2 linked regions of the Lepisosteus oculatus genome follow. The protein of the gene in region 2 purifies or fractionates together with the protein of the main gene of each other region. This does not show direct contact. Links are inferred from orthologs where the notes say so. Each region holds a gene or a part of one and is shown on either strand. Other genes may lie near its edges. The genes, in order: katnbl1 and katna1.

Region 1 (15,592 bases), on a different chromosome or scaffold from region 2:
TTACTGATTGAACATTTTTATATCACATCATATTCTTTGCAAATTTATTTAATTGTTGATTAAAAGAACAGTACTATGTACATAGTCAAGTATGTTTTTTTTCCACAAACAGGCAAATGTTCTAATAATTTAAAGATGCTTTGATATAGTTTCAAGCTCTTCACTGCAGGATTTTGTAACTTAAGTACATTTATTACATTCATCTATATACAAATGCACATAATATGGCAAAACAATGCTGTGCTGAAAATAGCTTGGCACTTCATTTAACAGCTTGGATTTCAACATCAATTCAGTGTCTTTCATCTCATGGAGTCAAATGTGCCCTTAAGCAAAATTTCCACTTCAATATGAAGCAGTCATTTGCAATTAATGGAAGGCTTTTTTACTGTTTTTTTTCCTCAATGGGAGTATAAGTGTAGTTCTTGGTTCAGCTTCAATCCCAGTGTTGCTATGCTTTCAGGAGCCACACTATTTCAATGTGGAGTCTCAAGAGTCCACTGTGGAGTTGAAAAGCAGCTTTAGAGAACTGCAACAAGTGCAAGGAGTGGTTATTTTCCCTATGTGCTACATTTAGAGATCACCGCAGCTGTGATAAATAGGATTCCACAGTCTGGAAAACAAAGAAAAAAACGTTTAAAAAATAATCACAGTAGCTAATTTTATAATTGTACATTTTTAATGTTAAAGCCACAATTAACTAATCCTTAAAAGTCATGTAATAAAGCAATGTGGACATTAATACAAAAGATTTCTTGAGTGTTTTGATACATACAGCAGTTCAGTAGTGTTTAATCACAATCCAAAATTTATTATTTTCACAAATACATCCACAAGTACACTGCTTCCAGAGGCTAAATACAAATTAACACACTAGAATGTTTAACATCTCTACTGCAATCTGGAACTCAATGAGGCATCCTTATAAAAATAGCCAAAGAGCAGTTTTCAACAGAATGGGTAAAACTGTAACAATAATATCTAGTGAGTAATAGAATATTTATAATTTTATAAGATGTTTTTTATGTCTGCATATACCTTTGCTATGTCACCTGTATTTCCTGGAACACAACATAAATGTTTTCCCTCCTCCCACAGTTCACGTAACTGCTGCTTCATAATTCCAATATTCCTAAGGGAGAAACAATGTTATTTAAACTGTGGATAAGACTTTACAAAACCTTTCAACATTCCTTTTTATTACTGTGTTAGAGACACCGTCTAAAGAGTGGCAGTTTTTACTTTGGAAGACTACACTCATGTACAGATTTTTTAAGTGTTTAAGAGTTCTTTGAATATGTTATACACCACACTCATCAGTACAACTCTTTAGAATCTTTACATTTTTGTTCAACCCAGTTCATGGAATTACCAAATGTCTTGGCTCATGGCTACAAACTCCATGATGTAACAAAACTAATGTACAATGCCTAAAAAGCTTGTAACCTTTTTCTTACATTGTCTAAACTGTGCTTTTTCTTATTTTCAGTTTTCCCCTTATTGAAAACCTACAATTAAACTAAACAGAAACCAAGAACAGGTTGAATTAGAATTAAGTGGAGGGTGATATAAAATGTGTGAAACAGAAGTCGGGATTTTAAAACCTCAAGAAAAATACAGCACAACCTTACCTATCCTCAGAATGGCTATCCCGAGCATTTCTGCCATTTGCAGATAGTTCTGGCCACCATTTTTTAATAACAGACTGAACCCAGAGTAAACCAACTATCAGGTATCTGAAATACATAATGCAAGATGTTTATTCAGTTGAAATAAAATTCACTATTACATCTTGATCTTAATTCAGTGTTTATAAATGCACAGCTTGACAGGTTTTCCAAAGGAAGCACGTCAGTGCAGAAATCTAGAAATTGTTGCTCTGACAACAGCTACAGACACTAAATGATATTTGGCAGAACAGTTCTTCCAATTAACTGTGTCTGAAGGACAATACAATTTTTAAAGAATCATGCTCTTGATTTGACTAACAGACCTATCACTTTAAAACTAAACAGCCTAAGGGTCAGTAATCTCCTGTTTACCAAAACTGAAACAATGCCAAATTTAAAAATGTTTATTTGAGTTTCACTGATGTGAGTGCCTGTTTAACACTCCTACCAGAATTCAACATGCTGTTTTCAATCTGGCTCAATTAGGACGTCACCCCTTAAGGCGAGTTTGAATCAATTTGATAGAAGACATTTATAACTTAATTGTGATCTTATGTAACTAAAAACAAAGAACACATTACAGAAAATCTTTGTGTAGGGAACAAAGAAATGACTCACTAGACTCAATACATATTAGTATTAAACAGGACCTGCTCCATTAAAAAGGACAGTGAAAACCTATTACATAAATTACATAGTTACATGTGTTCAATAAGTGATACAAATAAGCTAAAGCATCATGGAGCAGCAGTACTGTATGTGCACACTAAGATGTTGCACTGATACTGGTTTTGCTCATTAACAGAGCTTGATCTTCACTGATTCATGGTAACCTTAAAATGCCAGGTCCATCTCTGTCAATGTGTACCTTTCAAGATGGTATTTGATTTATATTTAAATAAATCTAACACAATGCTCCACCTACATAAAGTACATGGCAGGTTTTCTGGGTCCTTAAGTAATTTGAGGATTGTGTTTCTGGCACTAGTAGTCATTAAAACAACATTTAAATAACAAACACTGTTGAAAGACCAACCGTTGGTCAAACCTTGATACATCTACGGTATTTGCAAATTTCTGTCAAAACCTACAATATTGTTTAATTAGATTTATAGTATTTTATTTCTTTCACAAAATTATATCACTGTAATTGTAGCTTTGAAGACAAACTTTGAAAAGCTTTTAACTGTGAAAAACAAGATAGTAAACTGAACAGCAAACGTAAGCATTGATCCACAGTGTGTAGCAGATAACTAATATCACTCAAGACAAGATAAATATTTTAAATTCAATAGTAAACCACATTTATGCCTTAAGTCATTCACAAACCTAAGTGTTTCCTAGGCATGGGTATTGTCCTGATTGCTTTAACATGAAATATACTGAAGATAAAATAGGATGCATGTTAAGCCTGAGCAGTGGTAATTTCTATTTATAAAGCTTGTATAACTACAGCAATATAATTAACTTACTCGCACATAAAACAACAGTATTTGCACTAGGCACATGAACTAATAATTTTCTAGTGCCAGAAAAGACTGATGCAATGTAGAGTTTCAAGTCTAATACTACCATTGTGTTCTTGTACAAGGCACTTTATTCTACTTACTCCAAGCAATATGCACCTGGGTTCTTGAACCCATGAATGTTCTACAATCCTGACTCCTGCTCCACACTAGTCCCTATGTGGAACCTTAAATCATCACTGGAACTTGGCTCTACGAGAATGAAAAGTGTGTACAACTGAGTAGACAGTGCACGTACTACAGGATACTTACTCTTCATATTTACTTTTAAGTACATTTTTTACTAGTGGTAGGAGGTCCACACAACAGCCAAGTGATATACTTGATTTCTCATCTTGAAGGCTAAGATAGGAAAAAAGAAACATTCGGTTAAAGTAAAGAAATTGACTTTAGAAAATCTGATGTTAATTTATTATATTTAAAAACTCACCTTTTTGTAATTACAGGTAAGCAATCAACAAGTACACCCGTATCTTGAATTCTAAAGGACAAAAGAAATTAAAAGATTTTCAAACAATATTTGGTACAGATTAAATTGGTTACTAGGTCAAATCACTCAATACCAATTAACTAGTTTAATTTTTTTTTTTTAATGCAAAACTCAAGAGAGACATACCTAGTTTGTGAAGACGGCTGGCTCATTTTAATTTTCTGTATACCTGATACTTTCTAAAAGAAAAGCTTTCTGTAAACTTTTCACAATATTAATGGAGTACAAAAAGGAGTATAACATGCAAAATTGCATAAATCTGTACATTAATTCACCTTTGACTTATTAAAGACATTACAAAAACTCAAAATACCAGGATTCTCCTGATTAAACTGTAGATAAGTCAATTTTTACTTCTGTTTAGTAATATAGTATATATTGTTACTGTTGATGCATTTGCATAGCCCATGTTGGTATCTGCAAAGTAGTATAGTGCATTTAAATATTAAGTTTAATAAATTACATTAATCATTAGCTTACTTATCTTAAGTTGTGCATGTTCCTAGATATATTTGTTCTTATCTTATAGCATTTGAAACCTGACATCCATGATAGTACTATTAGTTATGGAACAGGGCTCACTGATACTGAACCTGGTACAGAACGTGACATTATCACTTGAAACCTGGAGAGCACTTCCTACCAGTGAGATGCTGAAAAGACCTTAGAATCTTTACTTATACTGAATTTCTCTGCAGTCAGGGGAATCTCATTGGTTGTAGAACTGCACTTGTCACTGTTATACTGCACAGTATCTATTAATTCACTTTGTAATAAACAATTCTATTTATACTGAAGTTTCATTATTTCACAGATTTATACTAGACTGATCTTTCTACTTTAAAAAAATTAGTTGGCAAGCACTGTTGCAATAAGAACTACAATAACAAAATAAAGCATACAAAACATTTTTTATTAAGTAAACACTTCAGACTTTGGCAAATTTGGTGTTCATGTTACCTGATCAGATATGCAACTAATTCACTAGTATTTCTTCGCCACAGAGTGAGAGCTACGTTTAGCCTGAGATTTCTTCCAAAAAGCACTTGTGTCATTGTATCATGATCCTTTGATATCTGTTGGAAAAGAAAAATGTATGTCTCTGGTTTTGATTTTCAGATATATTGCTTGCATTTCTAACAAACAATTCACAAGGAAAATCATGCACTATTGTATTCAATACAAAAAACTGAATTACCTTTCAGGTCACAAACAACTACAGCAAATTTTGCAGAATTACTTTATAATGTGTAATGACAATTTATAAATCAATGTTGCAGAAGCTAGATAAAATCAACTGGCATCTTGGTAAAAAAAAGTGCTGCTCTGGAAACCAGAAATCAGAAACGATCTGGGGATTAAGGAAATGTCCTACGGTGGCAGGTTCAAAGAACATAACCTTTCAAACTATGTGTTAGTGCATTTGTAACTGAGAACTGGAGGCACGACTTTATCTAAAGAATGGTGGGAAGTAGGAAAAAGCTACCCATAGACAGTGAAAACAGATCACAAAATAAACTGCAAAAGCCTAAAAAATATTTTTTCTTATGCAACCTGATGTCTCTTCTGGAAGAAGAAAGCACAATGCTTAGTGCTGCAGTATTTCAAGCCTATGTGTTATTAAAAAAAAGATAATGAACATTTCATACATCAATGAGCATATACCACACTACTGAGCATCAAGAATAACTACAAAGAGCTGAAGAGGAGTGCAGTCAGTCTTACCTCTGCAAAATAATCACTGTATTTGGAACCTGCACCCTCCATCCTTGTGGATCCTGCAGAGTTCAGTGGGAACCCGCAATGATCATCATTGTACAGTCTCTCATGCAAGCTGCCTGCACAAGCCAGTTCATTTTCCTTATTTGCCATATCACAGCTCCGGCTTGCCGAGGGCTGTCTCCGCCGTCCGCCGGAGCTTACAAATACGAGCCGAGTCTTTCTCTTGCTGGATACCACCCTTTTGACTTTGGTGGAGTTCTGTCCAGTGCAACCAATTGAAGATCTGTTAAGGAAGGGGTCAGACAGCAGTTACACAACAGAAACTAATTATGGCTTTTAAAAGTTAAGATACTGGAAAACTGAAATTCTCTAACCACAAAGGTGCATGAAAATAAACTTACCTCTTCTTATTTATTTCTTCCAGTTTAAAAAAATCCACCTGAAAAATAGAAATAAAAATATTATTGGCCTTAACCTTGGATAGCAGTGGGGCAAAGTGGTTGTAAGGTTCTGTAATTAATATTCCTGGATTCATATCCCCGGTGAAACACTGCTGTTGTACCTTTAAGTCAACTGCATTAAGTAAAATATTTAGCTGCAAAAATAAATTAACAAACTGGCATAACCTCATAACTTCTATCTCTGCACTTTAAAAATTACTTATAAAACATACATTGTCTTCAAAAGTATAAGTAAAATATGTAAATACATTGTCTGACAGCCATTTCAAATATATGAGAATTACTCTAAATCCTTTTCTGAATTATTTCAGGTTCAATAAACCAACCTCTTACCTCCTTCATGTTCTTTTTACCAGAAGATAGCATTTTTTGTTTGAGAAGTTCATTGGGTAGAGCCTCCTCAAGATGCTGGAAATCCTTAACTTCAGCATCATGTTCTCCAGAGGCCATAATACTGTAACTTTCTTAAGGATAAAAACAAAACAGGGATGATTTTCATGCAACATTACCAATGCAACATTATTTTAAGGGTCATAATAACTAACGTTGTCACAAGATCATACACTTCGTCTTTGGAATTACAACCCCATACCTTTCCAAGAGTCCCGCTAGATATTCTACTTTTAATTTTAAATGTGTTTCAGGGCAGGTTGAACAAGAATCTCGTTTCTTCTACAGATTGTTAACAACACCACTTGTAGAATATGTAAAACTTCTACAAATGATCAAACTTTTTATGGGCATCTATTGACTGCAAAAAGAGCAGTGTCGTATGCATCGGCCGGTGTTAATAATAAAAACTGAAACCAACACGAACAAAGATGTTACCATACAAAGAACATGCAGCCAGAGAAAACCTGCTAAAATGTTCTTATAGCGGCATGATGGCCCGGACTTTTCCTCGTTTCAATACACACTTTCAGCCAGCTAAAGTTAAAAATCCTCAGTCACCAATCTGTTTAAATTAAGGCGTCTTCTGATACACTCTAAAACATTGCCCTGCGTATTTTGTACATATGTTTTGAGATCCGGTTTTCCAACTGAATTCACAACGGAGGCGTAAAGAACAGTACACACCTCAAAGCGCCGTCACCAGTGCTCATCCCTCATGGAGAACACCAACCCCTATCATCTATTAATAGAGTAACGACATTTCTTTGACAAATAAGACAAAAAAAAATCGCCTGTAGAAAAATAAACTTTTAAAACTGAAAAACGACCAGGGTGACAGCAGTCCGGGAAACGGGCGCCGACACAGACATGGTATGACAGTTCGCTTGGTCGGCGAACAACGGAAACTTTTACATTATCGTGCCATTTGATTTTTCTACGATTACATATAAAAAACAAACATAAAACTTTATTTGAACTTTATCGAAAAAAAAACCATTACGCGAAAACGACCGAAATTAAAAACTGCTCTGCCCATTTTACCCACAATCCAACTGACTAATATGCTTACTACTCATCTATTATTTCCACAACAATATGGCGCAGTTTTAAATACACAACTGGATTACTGGATCTTCTAAGCAGACTCTTTTACAGTATTAAGCGAGTTCAAAAGGTTGGAATGCAAGGATTAACGACAAATTATAAGTGACTTCTGGTGTCCGTCTGGCCCAAGGGGCCCCTTCAGACCTGACTATATCTTAACCGGTTCAAGTTCGTAGCTGAAATAAAATATACTTCAAACACTTCGGGTAAGACAATTTTATTTTTCATTCGTGCCACAGCACATGCAAGCGAAACATTTGTTTAGAAACTCTTAAGAGTACATGGAAAGCTGATAGTGGGGCCTACGTACAATGTACCGAGTAATGCTGAAGCAGGAGCGGCATGCCTAAACTATGCGTTTTAGCTACAGAATTACAATTACTTCTTTTGAAAACGATAATTGCAAAACAATTCACAAACTCATTTTTTTAGCGATTCTCTGCTGCCCAGGAAAAAAGTCACCTACCGTTACATTTTGAAAAGGTTTATGGGGGATTCTCGCAAGTGAATGTCCTCGGACGGTGGTATTCCTTTCCTGTATTTCTTATCTAAAATTTAATATGTAAGTGTCTATTAAAGTAAAAATATAAGGAACTAAAACACACATTCACAGTCCCCCAGCTGAGCCTGCGCCATTCAAACAGAGGAACACGGCATGTTGGGATTGATGTGACTAGGCAGTCACATGGGCTACTGCGCCCCCTAGTGGCACGACGAGTCCAGGAGTAAAATAGGTGGGATCCCGTGACACCATATTAGAGCAGCTGCCGGGGGCTATTTCTGCAGCTTGAGTGCAAACTGCGTCGATAGTTGTTTGAAAGTGGGGAGAAATCAGACTTGTCCTATTTGGAGACATTGACGACATCAGCAAACGCAGCAGAATAAAATGTGGACATGAAATGGCACTTATATGCACTACAAAGCAATGACAGTGAAACAATAACGGGCATTTTTTTGTCATTGAATCGTATTTTAGGTATCCGACTCATTGTGTTTTAATCAGTGTGGATGAGAGTTACTTTTTAAAAAGTTACTTCTTTAAAGGTTTGTGTTTTTAAATGCGAAGTTTGGTGAAATTGATTATCTACAAAATGTATATTACTTTGAAGGTGGAGATAGCGCAGTAGGTACTGTAGGTCTCTGCATTTAATGGTAGGTTGTGGGTTGAAGTCCCCATAACACACACTGCTGTGTAACCTGGAATCAGCATTTTCATCAGGTAATCCCAGCGATACCTTGGCGTCCTATCCGTGGAGTGTTGGGCTGTACTGCCCGACATTAAAGGCAAAAAACGGGATGGTCTCTGACCTAATGAGCCCCCATGGCTTGAATGTGTTACCTTAAAGTCTAACTACAGTATGTGCACTGACTGCATGGATCACTCTAACGCTATAAAAATATTTTCTTCCCAATAACATAGTGTATACCGCATACACAACTAACTGAAAATTGATAATGTATCAAGAGAATATTTCCCCAGCACTTGTAATAATATTCAGTTTTGATTTATTAAATACTTATTATGCTATAATAATGCTATAATTTGAATATTAATAACCTTCCAAAGTTCCCACTTGTTGGGTTTTCAACTTCTACACACTAATATTGTTTTGTATATGTAGAAGTTCCCAAGCCACACACCAGGCTTTTATATATAGATTTCTCATCAGCCTTTAACGCCATTCAACAACACTTATTAGTGGAGAAATTACTATCACATTTTAATGTAGACTTTAATATTGTAGGTTGGATCTTAGACTTTTTGACCAACAGATCACAAAGATTGAGGGTAAATGGTTTTATATCAGAGCAGCTTTGTTCTCCTAATGGGTCTCCTCAGGGCTGTGTGCTGTCCCCCATCCTATACATTCTGTATACAGATAGTTGTAGAAGCCCTTTGAAGGACAGACATATCATTCCGTTTGCTGTTGTAAGAACTCCTTTCTTAATGTGTCAAAAACCAAAGACATGATTATTGATTATAGAAAGTAACCACCAGCTGCAAAACCAACAATCATCGAGGAGCTAGAGATTGAAATTGTCAACAGTGTCAAGATACTAATCACTTTGCACAAGAATACTGTATGTAAGAAGAGTCAACAGCAATTGTTCTTTCTAGAAAAACTCCACTCTTTTAATGTGGGTACCACAACAATGACTGTATTCCATAGAACCGTCCTTGAATCTGTCCTAACATTCACTGCAGTAGCCTGTTTTGGTAACTTTAACACCCACAATAAAAACTGACTGAGCAGGATTGTGATGGTAGCCAACTACAGCTTTCAGACAAATAGTGTGGAATGCCAATGTTATCATTAACTGTCATGACCACCCCTTGCACAGTAAAACTGACCTCCTTCCATCTATAGTAGATTGCCTAGATTCAAGAGCAATAGACGTTAGTCAACTTTTCCCAGTGTTTAACCTCCTTAGTTTGGACAACTGACTATATTTTACTTTATATATTTATTTTCTTTCTCATCATACATGTATGTTTCATATTTGTTAAAATTAATTGCTGTGGAAATGTATTATGTCTTTTACCTGCCTTCAAAGCAAATTTCCCATCTGAGACAATAAATTAAAGTATGTATCAACAAAAGGTCACAAATGTGTATGATTCTGTATATAGAAACACAAGGTCTAGAGATTCTGCAGCAGAGACAAAAAAGGAAGCTACTAAGAAAGCTTCACAAGTTAAATTCTTATGCATTATTATTGAAACGTGTCTGAAATTTAATAGATAACATTCACAAGGCGATTTAAATGAATAAGCTACTCTGAGATATCTTAGAACTATTGCAATGACCAGTGTTGACAAAATATTCATACATAATTATAATTTGTTCCCTCAATGTGTCGAGCAAATAATTCTGTATCTTTACCAATATGTTTTCATATCTAAACTTAATAAAAAACTAGCAGCACCCGTATTGCAATATTTACAGGAAAGACCAGCTGTCGAGTTTCAATTGCAATATTAGTCCTTCATACTCTGTTGCATATTTTAAAACTGCTGTTTTAAAAATGTAATGGATTATGCAGTGTATTTTGCCTTTAAAGGGAATTCTGTTTATTTCTGGCCTAGGTTATAAGAAATGTACAGTAGATGTTTTGTTAACTATGGTCTTGTTTCACTTGGCTCCTTGTTTAATATTTAATAAACTTTCAAGTCTAAAAAAATGAGCAGCACTTCCTGAATGACACAATGACATTGTATGTTTACAACTACAGTATCATAAGTGTAAATAAAAATATATCCAAAACATTTCACGGCTTTGAGGAATTAAATTCTGGGAGCGTTGTGGTTTCTTGTTTATGTTGCATTTTGCTGACAGATTGTTGCTTCTTAACCTTTGCATGTGACAGGAAGTTGAATACAGATGTTAACTGTGTGAGAAAGCTGTTAAAAAGGAAACTGCCAATGTCCCAAGAAAAGACAATAAGGGTTATGGGACATCTGAAAGTGATGTGCTTAATAGTATCCAAATAACTTACCAGGTAAGAATACAGTTTTCAGTTGCTTTTGAAAGATTTAAGATCCTTTAAGAAGTAAACAACTTTCAAATATTATATATCTTCTGTTTACACAGAACAATTATTTGAGAACATAAGACAAAAGAAAATGTTCACTTGGTTAAATGCTGTGAGATGAAAACAGTAAACATCTTAATGAATTAAAAAAAATAGTTGCTGTGTATTAAGCTCTTTTAAAGCAACAGAACAGAAACTGTTATCATAAACAAGATCACATGACAAGATCACATGAGTTTCTCTTGTAGTTTCGTGTACTAGATTTGTGTTGTGTTCAAGCTACTTGTTACAGATAACTACCATTTTCATTCTACCTATGAAAACAGTGTTTTGACTTTCAGATGTGCGTTTTCTTCAGGCTATGTTTCACACATTAGAATGTAACCTTTGATTTAGGTCAGGATTGTTAAACAATTTTCCTTTCAACAAATAATAATAATAATAATAATAATAATAATAATAAAACTTTATTTTATGTAGTTCCTTTAAAGGTAGCTTATCAAAGTGCTTTACGGAATAAATAATAAATTATACTTTTTTCTGAATAACCAGATAAGGGTGTGTGATTCTCGACATTAGTAAGAGATGGACTTGGTTTGGAGACTCTGTATTTTCTCCTGCTTTGGAGTCCACCTTGTACTTGGAGTCCCTCCAATTGGTACACAACCAGAACAGGTGCACATATCTTACCCAGGTAACGTTCTTTATTAGTTTACTTGTTTCCATCAAATGTATCTTCTAAATAATGAAAAAAACACAGTGACAATCTTTCAGTTTGAAAAAAATATCAGTCATTATGATGAAAGTATGTAAAAATAAGAAAATATCAGACTGAGAAAAGCATCTAGCTGAATCAGGAGTCATGGGCGCAATAAAATTGTGTGGGAATTGCTGAGTATAAGGTTTTTTAGTGTGACAGAAGGTAAATTATTTGTTTTTAACAGAACAGCCAGAAGTAAGTCACTTAGAAGAAAACCACAGCTAACAGGTTTCATAGGATGAAAAATTGGATGAAGATACTAGACTTAAAAAGTAAGGAAAGTCTTTAACATAAGACAAAAGAAAATGTTGTTGAACATTTAGGTACATTTAAGTATAGAAAGCACATATTCCGTTATTAATCTTCTACTTGCAGATCCCTGAATGTCACGTTTATTAAACGCTAAAAATGAACTAACTGCATCATTCAAAATATAAGGAATTTTTCCCATATTTATGCTAAGATGAGAATGAAGGTATGTGGTTTAGTTGGGTGCTTTTGGACACTCTGTACGTCATTACTAAGTAATCCTTAACATAGACGAAAAGAACAGATTAAAAGCACTGAAGAAAATTCAGGAGAGCTGCAGGGCAGAGCCATTAGACCTAGACAATTAATGACATTACAAACTTAACTGGCCTGAAAGCAAAAAAGGTCTTTTTTAGGACTTTTTAAGGTCAGGTGGAATGAGTCCTCATTCTGTTAAGGATTTGGCGGTGAGCTTTACTTATGTGGGATGGTCAGAACATTTTGTTATGAAATTCCTGTTTCATTGGTTTTTTTTTATTATTTGCAGATTTTGAGGGTAGCTTTAATATTTAAATTATTAAGGGTTAAAGTATTGGAAGAACGAAAAAATCTGCGCAGAAGCATCAATATTGAATATCAGTATTGAAAATTTTCCATGGGTGATCTGGAGTATGAACTTTGCAAAACACACAGGAAACTTGGCAACTCAATGGCAAGTTCCAATACCATGTCCAATTCCTGCCAATGTGACTAAGAAAGGACAGACTCACAAAGCCATGGCAAAAACTGAATGTAGTTAAAAAAATATTGGTTCATTCAGTTGGTTCATTCCTGATTGGGTTTAGGCAATGAGACTGGCCAAAGAGGAGAACACATAGACTATTACGTCTGTCATTAAAGCCTTTTATTTGTATAGTCATGGACACAGAATGCCTATATTTATATATTCTGATGTAAACACTGTACTATTTCATTTAATTTCCTCTTATTCAGCCAAAACCTGTTTACTAGATCAAGAAGTTCCTTCAGCAAACCATTTAAAAACGTAAAAAAAAGAATAAATAGAAAAGAGTAGAATATTAGAAAAGAGAAGATCGGCTCCACAGTCTAAATGTTGTGCTTCTTTTCTTCTGTTTTGAGCATGGAATAAACCTTTACTTGTTCCTATTCTTTTTGCCTTGATCCCAGGAGTTAGCTTTAGCTGGTTCTCTTTTCAGGAGTCCCACAGTCTATGGTCATCACCTGGACCACTTTCGATAAAGCAGAATCCTGGGTGGAGTATGGAGTCTGGGGAGGAAAGCTCTTTGAGCTGACTGCCAAAGGCAGCTACACTCTTTTTGAAGATGGTGGCAAGGAGAAGAGAAAACTACACATTCATCGGGTGACACTTACAGACCTCAAGCCAGGCTCCACCTATGGTACTGTATGTTTACAAAATTGCCTAGAAATGGATTGGGGTGCTGTCTGGCAAACTGTGTAATATGGGGAGAGAGTTAATCGTTGTATTCTCAGCACTGAGAGACTGCCAGGCAGAGGGAAGAATGGTTTTCAAGTAACAGGCATCCACTAAAAAGAACATTGCATGAGCTGTGGCTGGTTCACCACAAACAGATCACTTTTACTTGAAACCCTTTCGAATCGCATTTACATAACTACACGTGCATGGAAAGAAATGTGCCTCAAGGCTCTGGTTTTCAAAATATTTAGACACGTGTACCCTTCCCCATGTCCTGCTTGTTTATTGTTTAATATGATGGGTGTCATCTTTCAACTGTATTATTTTTATATGGTTCAGCAGAATTATTCTTCCTTTTCTGTACTTTCTGGCCCCAGCCGTTTAATATGGTGAGACATTTAAGCACATTTAGCTTTACTCAGACCTTTCTGTTTGCTTTTATTTGAATCAGGAAAAAGGAAGAGTGGGAAAATATAATTCAGCTGCAGCTCTGTAGATCCACACACTGTCTAAATAGTGATTTTCATGGTATACAGTACATACTATAAACCAGGGGTAATCAGTCTTTGTCCTGAAAGGTTTGCATGGCAGCTTTATAGCAGCAGCACCTGAAGAGCTGGGAGAAGCTGTTAAATTGCTCCAGTAAAGCTTGTAACCTGCTGGCTTGGCTAACTTGGAGAAAATGAAAATCTGTAGACATACTGGTCCCACAGGACTAGAATTGGAAAGCCCTGCTTTTAAACGGATTTTGAGTTACTCTGGAGTGTAACACACCTGGACACTAAATACACTATACAGTAGCTAGACCTTACAAACAGCAAGAAACACCAAGAAGAGTGTAAAAGATGGCATTTGCCTTTGTGTCCATATTTCAGTTAATATCTAAACCCAGTGCATCTAAAGACCATTCACCAGTAATAATATTATATCACATTTCCTTTGTGTTTGGATGATTTTATCAGACTATTCCGGAGGTGTACACTAGATGGCAGTTTTATAGTATGTAATCAAATGTATTTTGTGTGTTTCATAGCTATTATTCCCCATGGCTACTTACTAACCTACAATTTACAGTTTGCAAAAACATTACCCTCTGTATTTTTAATTGAATGTTTAGATAGATATATACAGTATATATATGCATTGTGAAAAAGGACAACATGGTGGTGTGGCTGCTCGTAGTGTTCTAGTTTCTTCCCACCTCCCAGAGATTAGTTTGTTAGGTTAATTGTGTCTCTAAGTGCCTTTAATTGGTGCCTGTGTGTTTACTTGTGCCCTGTGATGAGCTGGTGTCCTGTCCAGGGTGCAGCCCCAGCCAGATACTATGTGCTTTACCCCTTATACTACTAGAATAAGAACTGGGTTGTCATAACCCTTGCCAGGAAAGAGCAGCTAAATGCTAATGGGTGTGTATGTTTGACAACAGCCCAAAATGATTTTGGACTTGTTGGTTCTCACAATCTGTCTTGTTGAGATTTCTAATTATTCAAAAGTTTAAAAAAAGGAAAAACCTATCAGCCTTATTGAATGAAAACAATAACAAGCCAGAGTCTTCATTTGGATGTCAATTATTTGAGCCCTTGCATATACTGTATCTCGGGGCAACAGTGTGGAACTGTAGTTAGGGCTCTGGTTGGGGGTTCAAATCCCATGAGAGGCCATGCGTACCTTGCTGAGAAAGGTACTTTACTTAGATTGCTTCAGTAAATGCCCACTGCATAAATGAGTACAAATCGAAGTCACTTTGAATAAAAGTGTCAATCTTGAGACATCACTCAAAACACCATGCAAGGGAAGAATGTAAAGAATCCAGGGCTAAAGCATCATTTATTCGTGACTAACCAGAAGTAATTGTCTTTTTGCAGTTTATCACTGTGGTAGCAGTGACGGCTGGAGTGAGATGTTCTACTTCACTGCAATGAAAAGTGGCACCGAATGGAGCCCTAAGTTTGCACTATTTGGTGACCTGGGCAATGAGAACCCCCAGTCTTTAGCCAGGCTTCAGAAGGAAACTCAGATGGGAATGTATGATATCATCCTTCATATTGGTAAGGGTCATTTCAATAACTAGCTGTAAGTGTTATGGTACACTGTGCTTAGGTCATTAAGATCTGTAGAATGTTTATATATATTGGTGTTATGTCAACATAACTTGCGTAGCCAAAAAACTAAAAATAATAATTGAAATTGGAATTTCATCTATATATCTGAGAGGCATTAAAACACA
Region 2 (14,879 bases):
AATGATACACTATGTCACAAAAAGAACTTTTTACTCACCATTTCACATTTGGGTTTTGAGAGATTATATCTCTTTCGAGGGCCTCTACAAGGTCTTTATCATATCCAGTTCCATCAAACTTCTTGACTTCAGTCTCTGAAACATCAGCAGATTTATTCTGTAATGCAAAAACCAACAATTACTGTACTTACTCCAGGGAATTAAGGGAGATCTGATCATTCTGAGAATCACAAACCAGAATAACAAGTCTAGTGTTATGGTTGTATGCTTATGACCATGCAAACGTTAGCAAATGGGATTAATTTGGTCTTATTTTGTCATGTTAGAATAACCCTAATCAACCAATTGTTTCAGATTTAATCTGTTTTTTTTACATCACACTCATGTACAGTATGCTTCACAAGAAGCAGATTTCAAACACAAAACTTGACCAATGATATACAGAACATATGAAGTTGAAAGAATGACATTCAGGGAGAACGTTCTTTTACAGTGGACATCTCAGAAAATTAAAACAGACACCTCTGATGGACATAGGAAGTTCACTACAATGCTTTGCTACTTCAAAATAAAAGGCTTATGGCACAGTGATGATTAGGATAAAACTGAAGTGTAGATAATTGAGAGTAAAAGTGCTATTAAATGGAATACATTTTGGGATGATATTTAAAAACCACTAAAGTGATTTTTTTTTCTTTTAGAACAAGTGTGCACTTTTCTACATTCAAAAACAGTTTTACAGAAAAGGCACGAAAATAAAGGCATGCATTAAACTGCACTTGCATACAAAATTCCACAATTGTTCTTACTTTATAAACATCTTTATAAACATGGCCACACCCCTGCAGAATTGAGATTTTGAATGAATGTTATTATTTTAAATCTGCTAGCTGGGATGCATTTTGGAAGCGTTTAAGAGTGCACAGAAAAGGGCAAACGGGCTGCCGTTAATAGCAGGGAAACATGCAGCACCTTGTCCTCCTTTGATCTGCCTGGCGCCTCTCTCTTGTCTTTGCTCCGGACCGGCTTGGCTCGGTCGCCGTTGGCTCCGCGGGCTACCTGCCGATGCTGAGCCCTGCCAGCCCCACTCAGCCGATTGTTGTGGTGGATTTTACCGTCCTTGTATGGAACAGGCTGCCGGCGGGCAGGGCAAGGCGATGACCTTCGGGGGACAGGAGGAGGAGACGTCAAACAGCACTCACAGGTTACAGAACCCTTAGCAAGCCGGCAAGTCTGTCCCGCACTGAACTCGAGGCACAAATATGCTTTTAAACAGGGTTTCCTAAAAATGCATGGGATTGGGAAGATTAAGACCTTTGTTCAATTCATTCAGCCAGCAGAAATATCACCCTGCAACTCACAATTGGCAGCCCCACTAGAGCCCAGCAGGTGTGAGGATGGTCAGTACCTGGATGGGAGACCTCCTGGGAAAGACTAAGGCTGCTGCAGGAAGAGGTGGTAATGGGGCCAGCAGGGGGTGCTCATCCTGAGGTCTGTGTGGGTCCTAATGCCTCAGTATAGTGACGGGGACACTATACTGTAAACACGCGCCGTCCTTCGGATGAGACGTAAAACCGAGGTCCTGACTCTCTGTGGTCATTAAAAATCCCAGGGTGTTTCTCGAAAAGAGTAGGGGTGTAACCCTGGCGTCCTGGCCAAATTTCCCCCTGGCGTGTACCAATCATGGCCTCCTAATATTCCCCATCTCTGAACTGGCTTTATCACTCTGCTCTCCTCCCCACTGAGAGCTGGTGTGTGGGCCCATCATCCAGGTGGGGCTGCACACTGGTGGAGGTGGAGGGGATCCCTATTACCTGTAAAGCGCTTTGAGTGGAGTGTCCAGAAAAGCACTATATAAGTTTAAGCAATTATTATTATTATACTAATAAGAGAACCCTCATTATTCTATACATCAGGATGGTTTAGAAACCGCAACTACGAACCACACGAATGGAAACTGATCTGAAGAGTGTTTTGTCTCTAGCTCATTCCCTGCTCTGCACTGTTTACTTAACTCCACCTTCCTTTGAGCCTCCATCTATTTTTTTTTAAATGGCAGCACAGATGTGTTCAAATTCAGGTTTAGCGTGGATATAATTCAATATTAGCAGGAATAATAAGAACATTTCTCAAGACTAGACTGATGCCTGGCAAACTACATTTAATTAGACATATACACTGCACTACATGCAGGTACCAAGAACATGTGGTACTGAGCCTGTAAGGTATTTAGAGTTCAGGTCGTCTCACTGTCTCCATCAAGAGAAGGGAAAAGGCACGACAGCTGCCAGTCTGATGGACACGTATCTAAACCAACACTTGCACCTACTGTCGTGGCTGGATATGTGACTGACGCAGCTCCGGGAGAAGTACCATGCTGAAGGCAATGACAGCGGGGTCTCACCTGGGATTAGAATCTACAGCCTTTCAGTGTGAAGTACAGAGCCCTGACCTCTGCTCCACTCTGCAACCCCTGAGTTATTCATCTATCCAAACATTAAACTCTATACAGAAAGGTTTGCCACTTGAGAAAAAAAAAAAGTTAAAATCATTGCAATGTATGATTGGGAAAACAGTGTTCAATTCCGGTCACCATGTAGAGGCTGGGAATACTGAAAAACCTTAAGAAGACTTTATAATTCACAGAGTAACTATGGTTTAGATTAGCTTCAAAAAAGCTAGGAGCCTTTTCTAAAAAATTTCCATACAGCAGCAGTTTTTAGCGACAGATAAGGATGAATTTATCTAACTGCTCATGTGGAACAAAGGAACACTGTACTCGTTCTTCCTCGAGTGCTGAAGTCTTCAGTGCAGTTTAAAAAAAGCTCTTTTCTATGATCACCTTCTGTTGTTCTGTTTGGAACGAGTGCCATGTGGAATGAGGACTTGACAGCAGCTCGTCTAAAAAATAAGATGATAATCCAGTGCAGAGTAGGTGCACCCCAAACACACAACTCCAGACAGGAGCTCACAGTGCAGTTAAGTGTAAGAGAAATGACCATTTTCAAAAACAGTTACACTTAGGCACACTCCTTGTTTAATCCTGCAAATTAAATCCCGACACAGATATGCTTCTTTATATTTGTTTTCATCTAAAACTCGACAACCAACTTATAAATCAAAGTCTTTTAGATCTTGGCTGCAGGAATACTGCACAACGCTTTACAAAAAAGCAGGCAGAGCAGTCTTCCATGACTGCTTGTGGGGGGAAAAAAAAAGACCTTTTCAGAACATGTCAAAACAATATATACTTTTAAGGCCATAATTACTTTAGACCTTTTAAGGTCCAAAGATCTGAAGGAAAAAGCAGTAAATCAGGACAGCTCCACACTATGAGTCTACCACTGCGCTAAGCCAGGTCATATGAATTAATCCAGGAGAATTTCCTTCAGACAACTGCCTTATTGTTCTCCTCATCTTTAACCACACAGTGAGGAGCTGACCATACAGCAGCTATGTTCAAAGCCCAATTTAGTTGGCGTTTATTCCAATAGCGTGAAAGTAAATTTCAGAATAATACTACCTCTATACCTATAGGTGCTGCACATCAAAAGAAACTTGCCCCTGCAGCAGATGATTAAAGTTAAGATCAGGGGATCCCTTTTGCAAGAGGTGTGCCAACAACTTTATTGAATTGAAAAGACTTTGCTAGAGTGACTCTGATGCCATCGAGGCCCGAGAGCAAAATCCAGGGCTTAAAGCAGCAAGCCGATCAATTACAGTAGTGGCACCAGCACGAGGGACTGAGGAATTGTTGGAACACAAAAACAGCAGACACAGGGCACTCCGGGATCAAGAGCCACCGATTAGATCAACCACGTCACCCTGAAATACACACTAAACCTGCACTCAAATACAAGATCTGAAACCCCAAGTCTTGCATGAGAAGTCAAGGGACGTCAAAAATGTCTTCCACTTCGGGGCACATACCTGCGCTCAACCTGAACAGGCCAGATGTCTCCGTCTTGACTTGGGGGTTTAGAGGGCGTGTTTTCCAACTGGAAGCTTTCCAGAGTGCTCACTATCTCCCGGACATGTTTATTTTCATCATTTATGTCCTGCCACACCTGTTAAGAGAGACACTCGGGACTTAACGGCATGTACTGCTTCTACAAGCTCCACTATTATACATTTTATCATTATCTTATTTCTTAGAACACAGCCATTGCCTAACGTTCTAGTCTATTTCAGACCAAAGTTACCATAAAACCGCTTCATGTACTAGTTTTAAGCATTGCACTGCTCTTACAAAACACACTCATAACACAAGGAAACTTTATTTCACTGCTTATTAATTGTATCCAAAGGTTAAAAGTTAACTGTAACAATTCATTCGCACTTTTAATAATGCAGTACTGCTGAAAGTTGTGAAACTACAGGCGCCTCAAAGAACCACCTATTCAATTACAGTACTGTAACCTTATGAGCAAATAGCCCTTCACTGCCAACATTTCTTAGGATTGCTTCCATACAGTGGACACCTGAACAGCGCCTGTCTTGCACTCCCCCATGTGAATTTAGGCAAATCTGCTTTGGACTCCAATAATCCCGAAACCAGCCCTTGATGCCTGCGATAAGCAATGGTTTTGAGTAAAGGTGACCAGACGTCCCTCTTTCCGAGACCTTAAATATCGGTCCGACCGGAATTGATAAAACTGTCCGGGATTTTGTTTTGCTCGTTACTCAGACTGTGTAAACAGACAATCGGCATACAGGTTTTCCTTCCTTCCATGTATTACCGGTAGATGTTTTGTACTTACAAAAACCATTTGATGGCCATGAGAAATAGTTGAACGTGTTTCATTATATTTCAAAATGTTTTGTTAAACTTGATCATTTTTGCAACCAATGAGGACGATGTATTCATTTTTTCCTTAGATGTTAAGACATTCGTTGGTTTTAAACAAGGCTGAATGTTTATTTTTCCTTGTTTGCCATTATGTAAGAGAAAGAGCACACCTGCAACTGTTTTTTTTAAAACTTACCAGGAAGTTTAATAAAAACTAGATGGAGCTTAAATTGATTTTGTAATCAGAAAGAACCATAAAGATTCATTACTTTGGAGGCATGTGTCGAGTGTAGATTATCCCCGCCCTCTTTTTAAAAACCGAAACATGGTCACCCTATTTTAAATAAACCTGAAACCTGAAACAGTGGTTACCTGTTGCCATTTGTGCTGCAAAGCGGCATCCTTGACTGCAAAAAGGTACTTCTTGATCTGCTCCAGCACGCCTTGGTAGCAGACCAGCGCGGAGCTGTAGTTCCCCAGCAGGGCGTACTCCCGGGCGAGCTTCACGTTCTCGCTGATTTCAAGCAGACTCATGCTGAACATCACCTACACGTGTGTGGGGGGGAGAGAGACCACACGCAGCGTCATCACCACCCGCCCCGTGTGCCAGACACTTGACTTGACTTGAACTTTATTGCCATATGTAACCCGGCCTCCGGAGCCGCTCGGTACCACCGCCCGGGCCAGGCGGACCCGGGCCGGGATCGGTCCCGGTTCCATCTCCACCTCGCCTCCAGACACGTGGGGAGGGACAGGCTGCAGCCCGTCACTAAAACTTCTGTTAAAAATGATCTTACGCCTCGACGACCATCCCTCAGACGGCTCTCAGCGACGGCGTCGAGCAGTGACAGAGATCATTAATAAAAAAAAACAAGCCGGAGGCTCGCTTATTGTTCGTCGCGACGATAAAACGAGGCCGGTACTAACACCCACAACCTAAACACGCACCCCGAGAGTGTGTTAACCTCCCGGACCAGTCTTAAAACAACTTCAGTGCTAACTCTTGCGGCTGGCGTGCCTAATAAAAATCAGCAGAGGACGACAAAGAAAGCGTCCTCACTGCCCCCCGACCCGCACCCGGCTCCTCTCCATGTTGTTGTTGCAGTTGCTGTTGTTGTTGTGAGGAAGCCCTAAAACACCCACCTGTTGCGGGAAGCAAGGAGAAGCGCAAGTACCATTAAAGCTGAACTGCAGACACTGTCGTCCCTGAAAACGACGGCGCCTCTCTCCCTGCAAGCTCAAGCCTGTCCGCCCATCCTGCGCCGCCGCAGCGCCTCGGGAGAGTTTGAAGTCAAACAGCAGGCGTCATTTCCTGGTGCGGCCGGACCTGCCGAGGGGTGTGTCCGGGACATTCAGCCATTTGAAAAGGAGAAAACTTTTTTTTTGGGGGGGGGGGGTGCGTTTGTCAGCTACATTTCACCTACGTTGCGGTGCACTCGGCGGCAGGAGGGCCTCATATCCAGCCACCCCGGGGGGTGTTTTTCCACCTGCAGTACTAGACGTTTGGGAGACTGTGCGCCGATGGCAGGGGCTGATGCTTTTTAAATAGTGCGGCTATGTTTAATGCGAATGTTAAATTAATTTTTATTTCGCGTTTGTAAAATGGTTTCTGTTTTTCCCATACACAGTAAAAAAACAAACAAACTATATCCAACCCAACATATTATGGGTGTACTCACTATACATAAACATAATACAGACATGAAGAAGGCTCCACGGCCGAAACGTTGTGTTTTCTTTCTTCTTTTTTTCAGCATGGAATAAACCTATTACTTGTTCCTTTGCAGCCTACGCATGCTGACGCAGCTACCTATAATACAGACATGTACTACATCAAACTCCCTATTATTTATTTTCATAGGACATTCTGTCCAGAAAACACCTTATTTCGGTGGTTAAGCATAGTGCTGGGGTCCTGGCTTTAATCCCCAGAGTGCTATCTGTGTGGAGTTTGCGTGTTTTCCCTGGCTTCTCATTAGTTTCCTCTGGGTGCTCCAATGTGCTCCCAGAGGACAAAGACATGCTGGTAAGTTTACTGGGTTCTGGAACGTGGTTCCTGGTGTGTGTGAGTGTCCCCCTGTCTGTCTGTATGTCTCTGGACCTGCAGTGGACTGGTGTCCCATCCAGGGTGTATCCTGCCTTGCGCCCAGTGCTTGCCAGGTTAGGCTCTGGCTCCCCGTGACCATGTACTGGATAAAGCATTTTAGAAGATGAGTGGTTGGATAGAATTTTCCTTCTTCTGGTTTCTGTGGTGCAGAAACCGCAGTGCATTCTGGCTCTGGCACAACACCGACCGATGGAGTCACATTGTAATTCTGACAATCCCTGGTCTGCTTTAAAAAAATACAAACTGGACCCAATCTTCATGACCATTCTATAAAACAAAATGAGAAATGAATGTACAGGCATTCAAATCACAATGTTGGGGGTTTTCTTTAATAAATTACAGAATTGACACAAAACTAAATTCTAAAGATAAGTTTCCTACAACCTGCTTTGTTCACGCCACATGATTTATTGTAACAATGACTGCAGTCGTTTTAAAATAGACTAGGGAGTGTATCCCAAGTTAAGTATCTAAATAAATTAAATGATCTAAATAAATTTTGGACACAGCCAAAAACCACTGAAAACAGAATAACAATGCCTTAAAATCCCATTAGGCACATATTTAAGTGTGTGTGGTGTAAATTATTCTTCCATCTCAGAAATATCGCCAGACTACTTCCTATGTTGTCTCTAACTGTAGCTGAAAAACTGGTCAACACATTTGTCTTTTTCAGAATTGATTAATGCAACACCCTACTTGCTGGGGTATCTGAATCCACACTAAACAAACTTCAGTATCTCAAGAATCCAGCAGCCAGAATCCTGACCAGGTCACATGCAAGTGATCACATTACTCCTGTCCTGGAGTCCTTGTACTGGTTTTCCTATCAGGTTTCATGTCAACTTCAAAATTCTCATGCTCACCTACTGTATAGGGCTGTACATGGCCTGGCCTACAGTAACTGACTTACTATCTTCCTACTCCCCCTACTCTTCCTACGCCCTGAGTGCATGGTTTCAGCTGTGTTCTGGTGGTTCTGTAATGTTGTGGGGTGCTTTTTACTGGCATGGTTTAGTTGTCCTCATTCCTTTACAAAGCCATTTTAGGTCTATTCACTATTAAATCATAGTAGTAACAACTCCTTACACTTATATATCACTTTTCTGGACACATCTCTCAAAGCGCTTCACAGGTAATGGGGTCTCCCGTCCACCACCACCAGTGTGCAGCCCCCATGGTGATGTGACGGCAGCCATAGTGCACCAGTCCGCTCACCACACACCAGCTCTCAGTGGGGAGGAGAGCAGAGTGATGAAGCCAGATCAGAGATGGGCATTATTAGGAGGCCATGACGGGTAAAGGCCAGGGGGAAATTTGGCCAGGACGCCAGCGTACTTCATGGTACTGAGTGATCATCTGCTCCCCATATTGCAGCATTTCCTTCCCTCCGGGAGGGGTGTATTTCAGGATGACAGTGCCCCCATCCACGATGGTGTCCCTAGGTCAAAGGCCGTCTCCATCACTTAATACGAACCTAATCAAACACTCGTTTGCCACTTTCATCAAACACCGTAAGGCGACCAGCTTTCTCAAGGAAGAATGGTGCCACACTTCTCCTATAGTATTCCAGATGCTGGCAGACATGTCACTGGTCCAAAGTCACATGAAGTGACGTTACAATGATTTAATTTTTCTTCACATTTTTTGTTCAGCATCTTGTTTCATGATGATTTGCTACTTGTTCTGCAATATTCATTAATTAGCATTATTCTCAATAAGTATCAATTTACATTTAGATACTGCTGTCATGGATCCTTTTGTAACATTTCAATTTCCTGTGCAAAAAGCAGTGATGTGGAAACAATTTTTTTTTAAAACAATTGGTTTTATTTTTTTATTTAACCCCCCTTCCCCCCCCCATCAGAGAAATTACAGATATTACTAAAGAAATGATTGTGAAATCATGGTAACGTGATCACTGTAAAAAAAAAAAAGAAATGTCATTGCTTATGCTCCAGAATTATTTTCAGACCTATGAAAACTTAAAAAAAACTCACAAAAAGAAAAGGATGATAATGCAAAGAGATATGGTGGGCCCGTTTTAATGTGCAAAGGCTCTCCATGCCTTTCTTCAAATCCTAAAGAACGCTACCTGCATGCTTTGCAAATTGCCAACCAGTGAGAGGAGAGTCTGTATTTTATCCTTGTACTTTGGTTGCGTTTAAGACCATTTTCTATGTACATAAAAGTACAGCCCCTTGTATTAAGGACTTTGTTTTTAAAATAAAAACACACCCTGTCCTGACTCCTCACCGAGCTCAGGGTATCAGCCCGACAAGTGGTCCGTTTCTCTTTTCAAGAAGCAGAAAACCTTGAGAGACCACGTGTGCATGATCAAAAAGCTTACAAAGTCAAGAGGGCCTGCCCTAAGATAGCTCATCAAAGGTACTAACAGGATAGGTAAGAAAAGTATTTACACCAAATTTATACAGCATAATTTATAAATACATTTTATGTATAAATTAGGAAGAAAAATACACAAAATTACTAGTATAATCCACTAAATATTAACCAGCTAATGTGTTCCCATTAAAATGCTAAGCCGATTAATTTTTGACTATATTTGGTAAAAGAAAACAAATTTCGAAAGGCACTGCAATTTACACAGTTTCAAGGGTCTCGCTTCCTCCACCTCTGTTCCATACAGAAATTCAGTTCACCTTTACAACTGGACATGAGACTTTTCAAAATATAAATTAAAACAATATCAATAAAATAATCAGCTCCTAAAGGAAAAAAAACAACAACAAACAAGTTATGGTGTTTATCTTGAAAGGTACTATCATCACCAGTTTACAATATTTAAATAAATTAAGGCTGAAAGGGGGTTATTTCTTTAAAATAGTTTCAGATACAGAGTACAGGAAGAGATTTTAACTTTGCCTTTCCACTACTTGTTTTTGAAGTTTTTTTGTTCAGGCAGCACATTCAAGGAACACACTGTACACCCCAAAATAAATACACCTAACGTACAGTCTGCACGGGACTTTCAACGTCCTCCCCGGAGCTTCTCTGCTGATGCTTGTGTTCGTTTTCCCGAAATGTCCGTTCCGTCTCCCAGCCAAATCCTGGCTCCCTGCTGTGAAGGCAAAGGTCAAGCGCGAACCCACCGCCGATCGAGGGCTGAACGCCCCCTCCTTTATCATACAAACACCCAAGCTTTACCGTCTTGTTCGTACCCCAGCAGCGGCCCGGACGACACTGGCAACGAGCGGGTCAGCGTCCGCGCGGGCCCCCAGGCTACACGTACACCAGATCACGCCCCTGCCCCCCCGCGTCCCGCCGCTGGGGCTCCGAGTCCAGGCCGTCGCGGCTGTACTCCTCGGGCCCGATGGGCCTGGGATAGCTGTAGGGGTGCCCGTTGTCATCGAAGAACCGGCGGAAGGTGAACTCGTAGAAGGCGTGCTCGGGGTGCTTGCCGTTCTTGTACCAGCCGTTGAGGGTGTCGTCGTTCCTTCCCTCCGCGTCGTCGTCGTCGCCCCCGCCGCGGCCGGCGCCGCCGCCGCTGCTCCAGAGCTTGTCGGGGTCCACGGGGTCGAAATTGGAGGTGTCGGTGCAGTGCGCGATCTTGGGGACGTACGGCGCCGGCCGCTGCTGCTGCCGCAGGTCCGTGGAGAAGTCGATGGTCCTGAAAAAGGGCTGCGCCTTGATCTCGTCGGCCCCGTTCTTCCCCAGCCGGTCCTCGGGGCCCCTGCACAGCTTGATGATGAGGTCCGAGGCTTCCGGGCTCAGCTTGGCCTGCGGGGGGACGTGGAGGGCCGTCTGCCAGCTGATCACCTGAGGAGAGAGAGCGGAGAACAGCCGCCACCCGTGCGTTAATTCGTGCTCCGAGCCGTTACGGGAATCCCATTGGAGACTGACTGAGAATCGGCAAAGCTACGTAGAAAGTAATGGGACTTCCAAACTAGCCCATGTTTTTCAGACTCGGGGGCCTGGTGTGTGTAACTTTCCTACGAGAGATATTTAAGGGAGGTCACTTGGGTTCAGCCTCAGAAGGCAGTACCCATATTCCATGCATCAACACACAGGTCTTTTTGCTCGTTGTCTTTTGTAAAGGTCGCGGCGGTCGCAGCGTGCCTTCCGTTACCTTAAGCTGCGTCTCCAGCGGTGTTGTCGCCAGGAAGGGTGGCTGTCCGACCAACATCTCGTACAGAATGACGCCGACGCTCCACCAGTCACAGAGCTGGGTGTAACCTAAAAAGCAGCCGCATCTCAGAAGAAGAACAAAATAGCACTTCCGCCCACTTCTCGTCTTACGGAGTGTGACGGACAACAGCTCAAAACCAGCGAGGCCAGCCTTTTGGGACGGTGGCATTGCGGGCTCCGGAGCTCGCACAATCCTCGCGCAGACGAGAGCGGCGCGCGGCGTGGAGCGAGCGAGCGCGGCGGTTACCTGTCCGCAGGAGCACCTCGGGGGCGATGTAGTTGGGCGTGCCTACGAGGGAGTGGGCCAGGCAGCGCTGGTGCTGCCGGGCGGCCCGCCGCTCCAGGGGCTTCAGCCGGTCCCCGCAGCGACAGCCTGCAGGGTCCTCCCACTCCCTGCTGAAGTCCATGCTGTCCTGCCGGGCGTGGTCGCCTGCGGAGAGCGCAGGGCACAGGTGAGAGCACGCTCACCCACAGCTCGCCCAACGTATTCAAACCGAACGCGGCATCGGCAGGACATGACTGGATTATAAAAACTACGCTCTTTGGTTATAAAGAGCGTAGTTTTTAACACACTTTTCCTCCTTTCAAGAAAAACATCCTTTGAAGTGGGGCCAAATCCCAGTACAGTATAACGCCACAAAATACACTAAATTGTGCTGGGGAACAGTTTGTCCAGGATTAGGACCTTCTTAATACAGACGTGTAAAGTACATGAACAACGAACCCTCTTCATCACTTTAATTTCCCAAAGGAGAACAACACCTTACTTTATGATCTCCCCTCATGAAAAAACACAATTAAAAGGAGATCAGCAAGTTTGATCTTAATCTTAATTAGATCATAACTTACAATTCTACCCAGCAACTAGAAATTAAGGAACAGAACAATACATCATTCGTTTTTAAAGATGCTGTAATCTACTTTAATCCTACATTGTATCACTGGTGTCAAATTAATTGATGTGTCTTTCAAGCAGGCCATACGCATCATAAATTGTCAAAATACTAGCCACAAACATTATATAGTATCATTTGTCATGTTCTGATTTTTTGGGATTTATTTTACCACGGTATATATCTCCCTTTAATATGCAATTCACAATTATTCCATCTTCCCTAGAAGTCATTAGTATTCAATACACTCTTGAGTATAGAATGTTTCCGGAACTTATTGTAATTAAAAAAAAAAATATCATGTGATTAATGTGATTTATGATTACTGAAATTTCACATTACCAGCCATTTCTGAGAAACAAATTATCTTCTCAAAATTAGGGATGGGTAAATATACATATACCATTGGTAATCTGCAGGACTGAAATGCAAGCTTATACAACCTTTGGGATAAGTGATAAGCACGACCTTTAGACTCTGCTTGAGGCTGATCACTGTGATGAGACTAACGGTGACTGTGATAAGTGAGAAACACCTCATCTTGTTTCATATTTAGCAGAATTTTTTAACTGGGCCACAAAGCTGCCAAAAGGCAACGTTTAAGGGATGTCACATGATGAAAAATAAAAAATGGGGAAGATATCAATAGACATAAAATCTTGCTAGGTACTTGCTAGATATCAATGACAAAAACAGCAGAAAAAAAAAATCAATTATATTCCTACAGCCCCCGAATCCAGCACATCAGCTTTCCATTTACTTCTATGAAGGCGTACACATTTCTCCACTTCTACCGAGCCACACAATTCGATATTTTCTTCGACAGTTATAAAACCCTTATTGAACTGTGCCATTTGAGATAAACACTATGGGCGCTGTCAGGGAAACCGATGGTGCTTCAGTCGCTAAGCTTGGTCCAGGACGTGGAGGAAAGGGGACATGGTGGTGTGACAGAGCAGGACAGAACAGTGCTCTGAGATGGGACAGAGGCAGGGAACCACAGGCAGCACCTGTGGGTGACACTGCTACATTCATATCGGCTCTGACCCCCAGCTTCTCTTCCTTCATGGAGAGCAAGCTGGGGAATCTGGAAGGACAAATTCCCAATTCAAGAAATTGTATATGGCCCACAAAGTGATCTGATCTATCTTATCAGGCTCGCGTACACAGCCTGCACTTACCACTCTGGTAGTACTTGGAGTCGTGCGTCCACCGGAAACCAGTACAGAGGCCGAAGTCGGTGAGCTTGATGTGCCCGTCGCGGTCGATGAGGATGTTGTCGGGCTTGATGTCGCGGTGGATGAAGCCCATCTTGTGCACGCTCTCCACGGCGCAGGTCAGCTCGGCGATGTAGAACCTCGCCAGCTCCTCGGGGAAGATGCCCAGGCGGATCAGCAGGCTCATCATGTCCCCGCCCGGGATGTAGTCCATGACGAAGTAGAGGTTGTCTCGGTCCTGGAAGGAGTAGTAGAGCCGCACCACCCACTCGTTGTCTGCCTCGGCCAGGATGTCCCTCTCCGCCTTGACGTGAGCCACCTGGTTCCTCAGCAGCACGTCCTTCTTGCGCAGTGTCTTCATGGCGTACAGCGCATTGGTGTCCACCTTCCTGGCCAGGCACACCTCCCCGAAGGCCCCGATGCCCAGCGTCTTGATCTTCACGAACATGGACTTGTCCATCTTCGCCCTCTTTAGCCGGATGTAGTTGGACTCCTTCTGGCAGAGCATCATGCGCATCTGCTCCTGGGCATCCTCCGAGAGTCCCACCTGAGCAAAGCACAGAACGCAACCCCCGTCAATCAGAACCCAGCCTCCCACTCCGAGGGCCTCTCCAGACCCGCCATCCCCATGCTCCCGTTTGACAGGTAGTGCCTCGAGCTTTTTGAACTGAGAGGGCTGCCCAGAAAGTAATCCCATCCCATTTTCAAAATATGAACTTCCACTGGCCAGCACTGCAACGTCTGTAAGGATCGATTGTCTATACTTCTTGTTGCAGAGTCACGCCACACATAGTCGGCAAAAACATTTTGACAGAGGGAAAAAAAAGGAACCATTTTACTTTCTGGGCGACCCTCATATTTTCCAGAGCTTATGCATGGTAACCAGCAGAGTGAAAAAAAACTGCCATGTAACATTTTTTGCAAACGCTTAAGTGATAGCTTGAGGACAGTGCAAGGTCCTCCCATTGCTGCGTGTTGCTCAGCTGTGACTGAACAATTCCATGAGGAGGTAAAGGGGAACTGCAGTGCCATCTTGATATCTCGGTATTAGAAAGAATTGGGATTGATGAGTGCAGAAGTAAAATGTGCACGGTAATTTGTGAAACCTCCAATTGACATCACAAAATAGATCAATATTTCCAGGTGTGCACAGCACCATATTCTGTGATTCAGAACGAGCCAACAAAACGTCCAGTGAGGTGAAGCAGCCCTATTAAATTGCAAACAAGCTGGCCTGTGAAGACAACTCTTTTAATCAAATAGAAATACGGCTCCTGACTTCGAGATGGTTTTGCCGACAAATACTACTTATTTGTTAACTCTGCATGCAAGTCACATTGGAACATTCCTGCAGTGGAATGCCTGCTGCACAGCCTGTACTAATTCCCTCATACACGGCGTTACATTCGTCATTACAGTGACTAGTGAGCAGGAAGGGCCACATCATGTCGCAACTGGTGCAAACTCGTGCTCTCGCCCGTGGCAAGATCAGGGGGTTTGTGACAACAGTGGTGACTACACTTTTACAAAGTTCACGATTTCGTGCTTAATTTGTCAACTTTTTCTATACCATTAATGAATTTATTTTTGTTCCCGAGATTTAGTAACCAGTTTGAGAAACTGCAATTCCCCTTCAAGTTTTCAGACATGCAACATTTCAAATTAAAATGTCAATCCATACATGCGAATATTCAGGACTGAACTAAAAAACAGTGCCAGATGTT

The links.
Region 1: the proteins of katna1 (region 2) and katnbl1 purify together in Homo sapiens (affinity purification with mass spectrometry; 3 studies listed by BioGRID and IntAct, counting the BioPlex papers as one, with this or other methods). This does not show direct contact. The link is inferred for Lepisosteus oculatus from reciprocal best matches to the Homo sapiens genes KATNA1 and KATNBL1.

Annotation. Positions count from the first base shown.
Region 1 is NC_090703.1:16,026,304-16,041,895, reverse strand, and holds the start of katnbl1 (KATNB1-like protein 1), read right to left. Parts: upstream 8,036-15,592; 5' UTR 7,833-8,035; intron 7,573-7,832; exon of another isoform or gene 7,111-7,572; intron 7,002-7,110; 5' UTR 6,947-7,001; intron 6,334-6,946; 5' UTR 6,320-6,333; coding exon 6,203-6,319; intron 5,848-6,202; coding exon 5,810-5,847; intron 5,692-5,809; coding exon 5,412-5,691; intron 4,763-5,411; coding exon 4,647-4,762; intron 3,678-4,646; coding exon 3,627-3,677; intron 3,539-3,626; coding exon 3,449-3,538; intron 1,737-3,448; coding exon 1,632-1,736; intron 1,133-1,631; coding exon 1,039-1,132; intron 614-1,038; coding exon 581-613; 3' UTR 1-580. Other genes in the region: acp7 (acid phosphatase type 7), read left to right, coding at 11,486-11,594, 13,127-13,327, 15,231-15,413.
Region 2 is NC_090697.1:4,942,295-4,957,173, reverse strand, and holds the start of katna1 (katanin p60 ATPase-containing subunit A1), read right to left. Parts: upstream 6,112-14,879; 5' UTR 5,968-6,111; coding exon 5,965-5,967; exon of another isoform or gene 5,933-5,964; intron 5,336-5,932; coding exon 5,162-5,335; intron 4,068-5,161; coding exon 3,931-4,067; intron 1,163-3,930; coding exon 973-1,162; intron 158-972; coding exon 39-157; intron 1-38. Other genes in the region: serine/threonine-protein kinase LATS1, read right to left, coding at 10,140-10,676, 10,987-11,093, 11,293-11,475, 13,120-13,702. UniProt on the Homo sapiens protein: Catalytic subunit of a complex which severs microtubules in an ATP-dependent manner. Microtubule severing may promote rapid reorganization of cellular microtubule arrays and the release of microtubules from the centrosome following nucleation.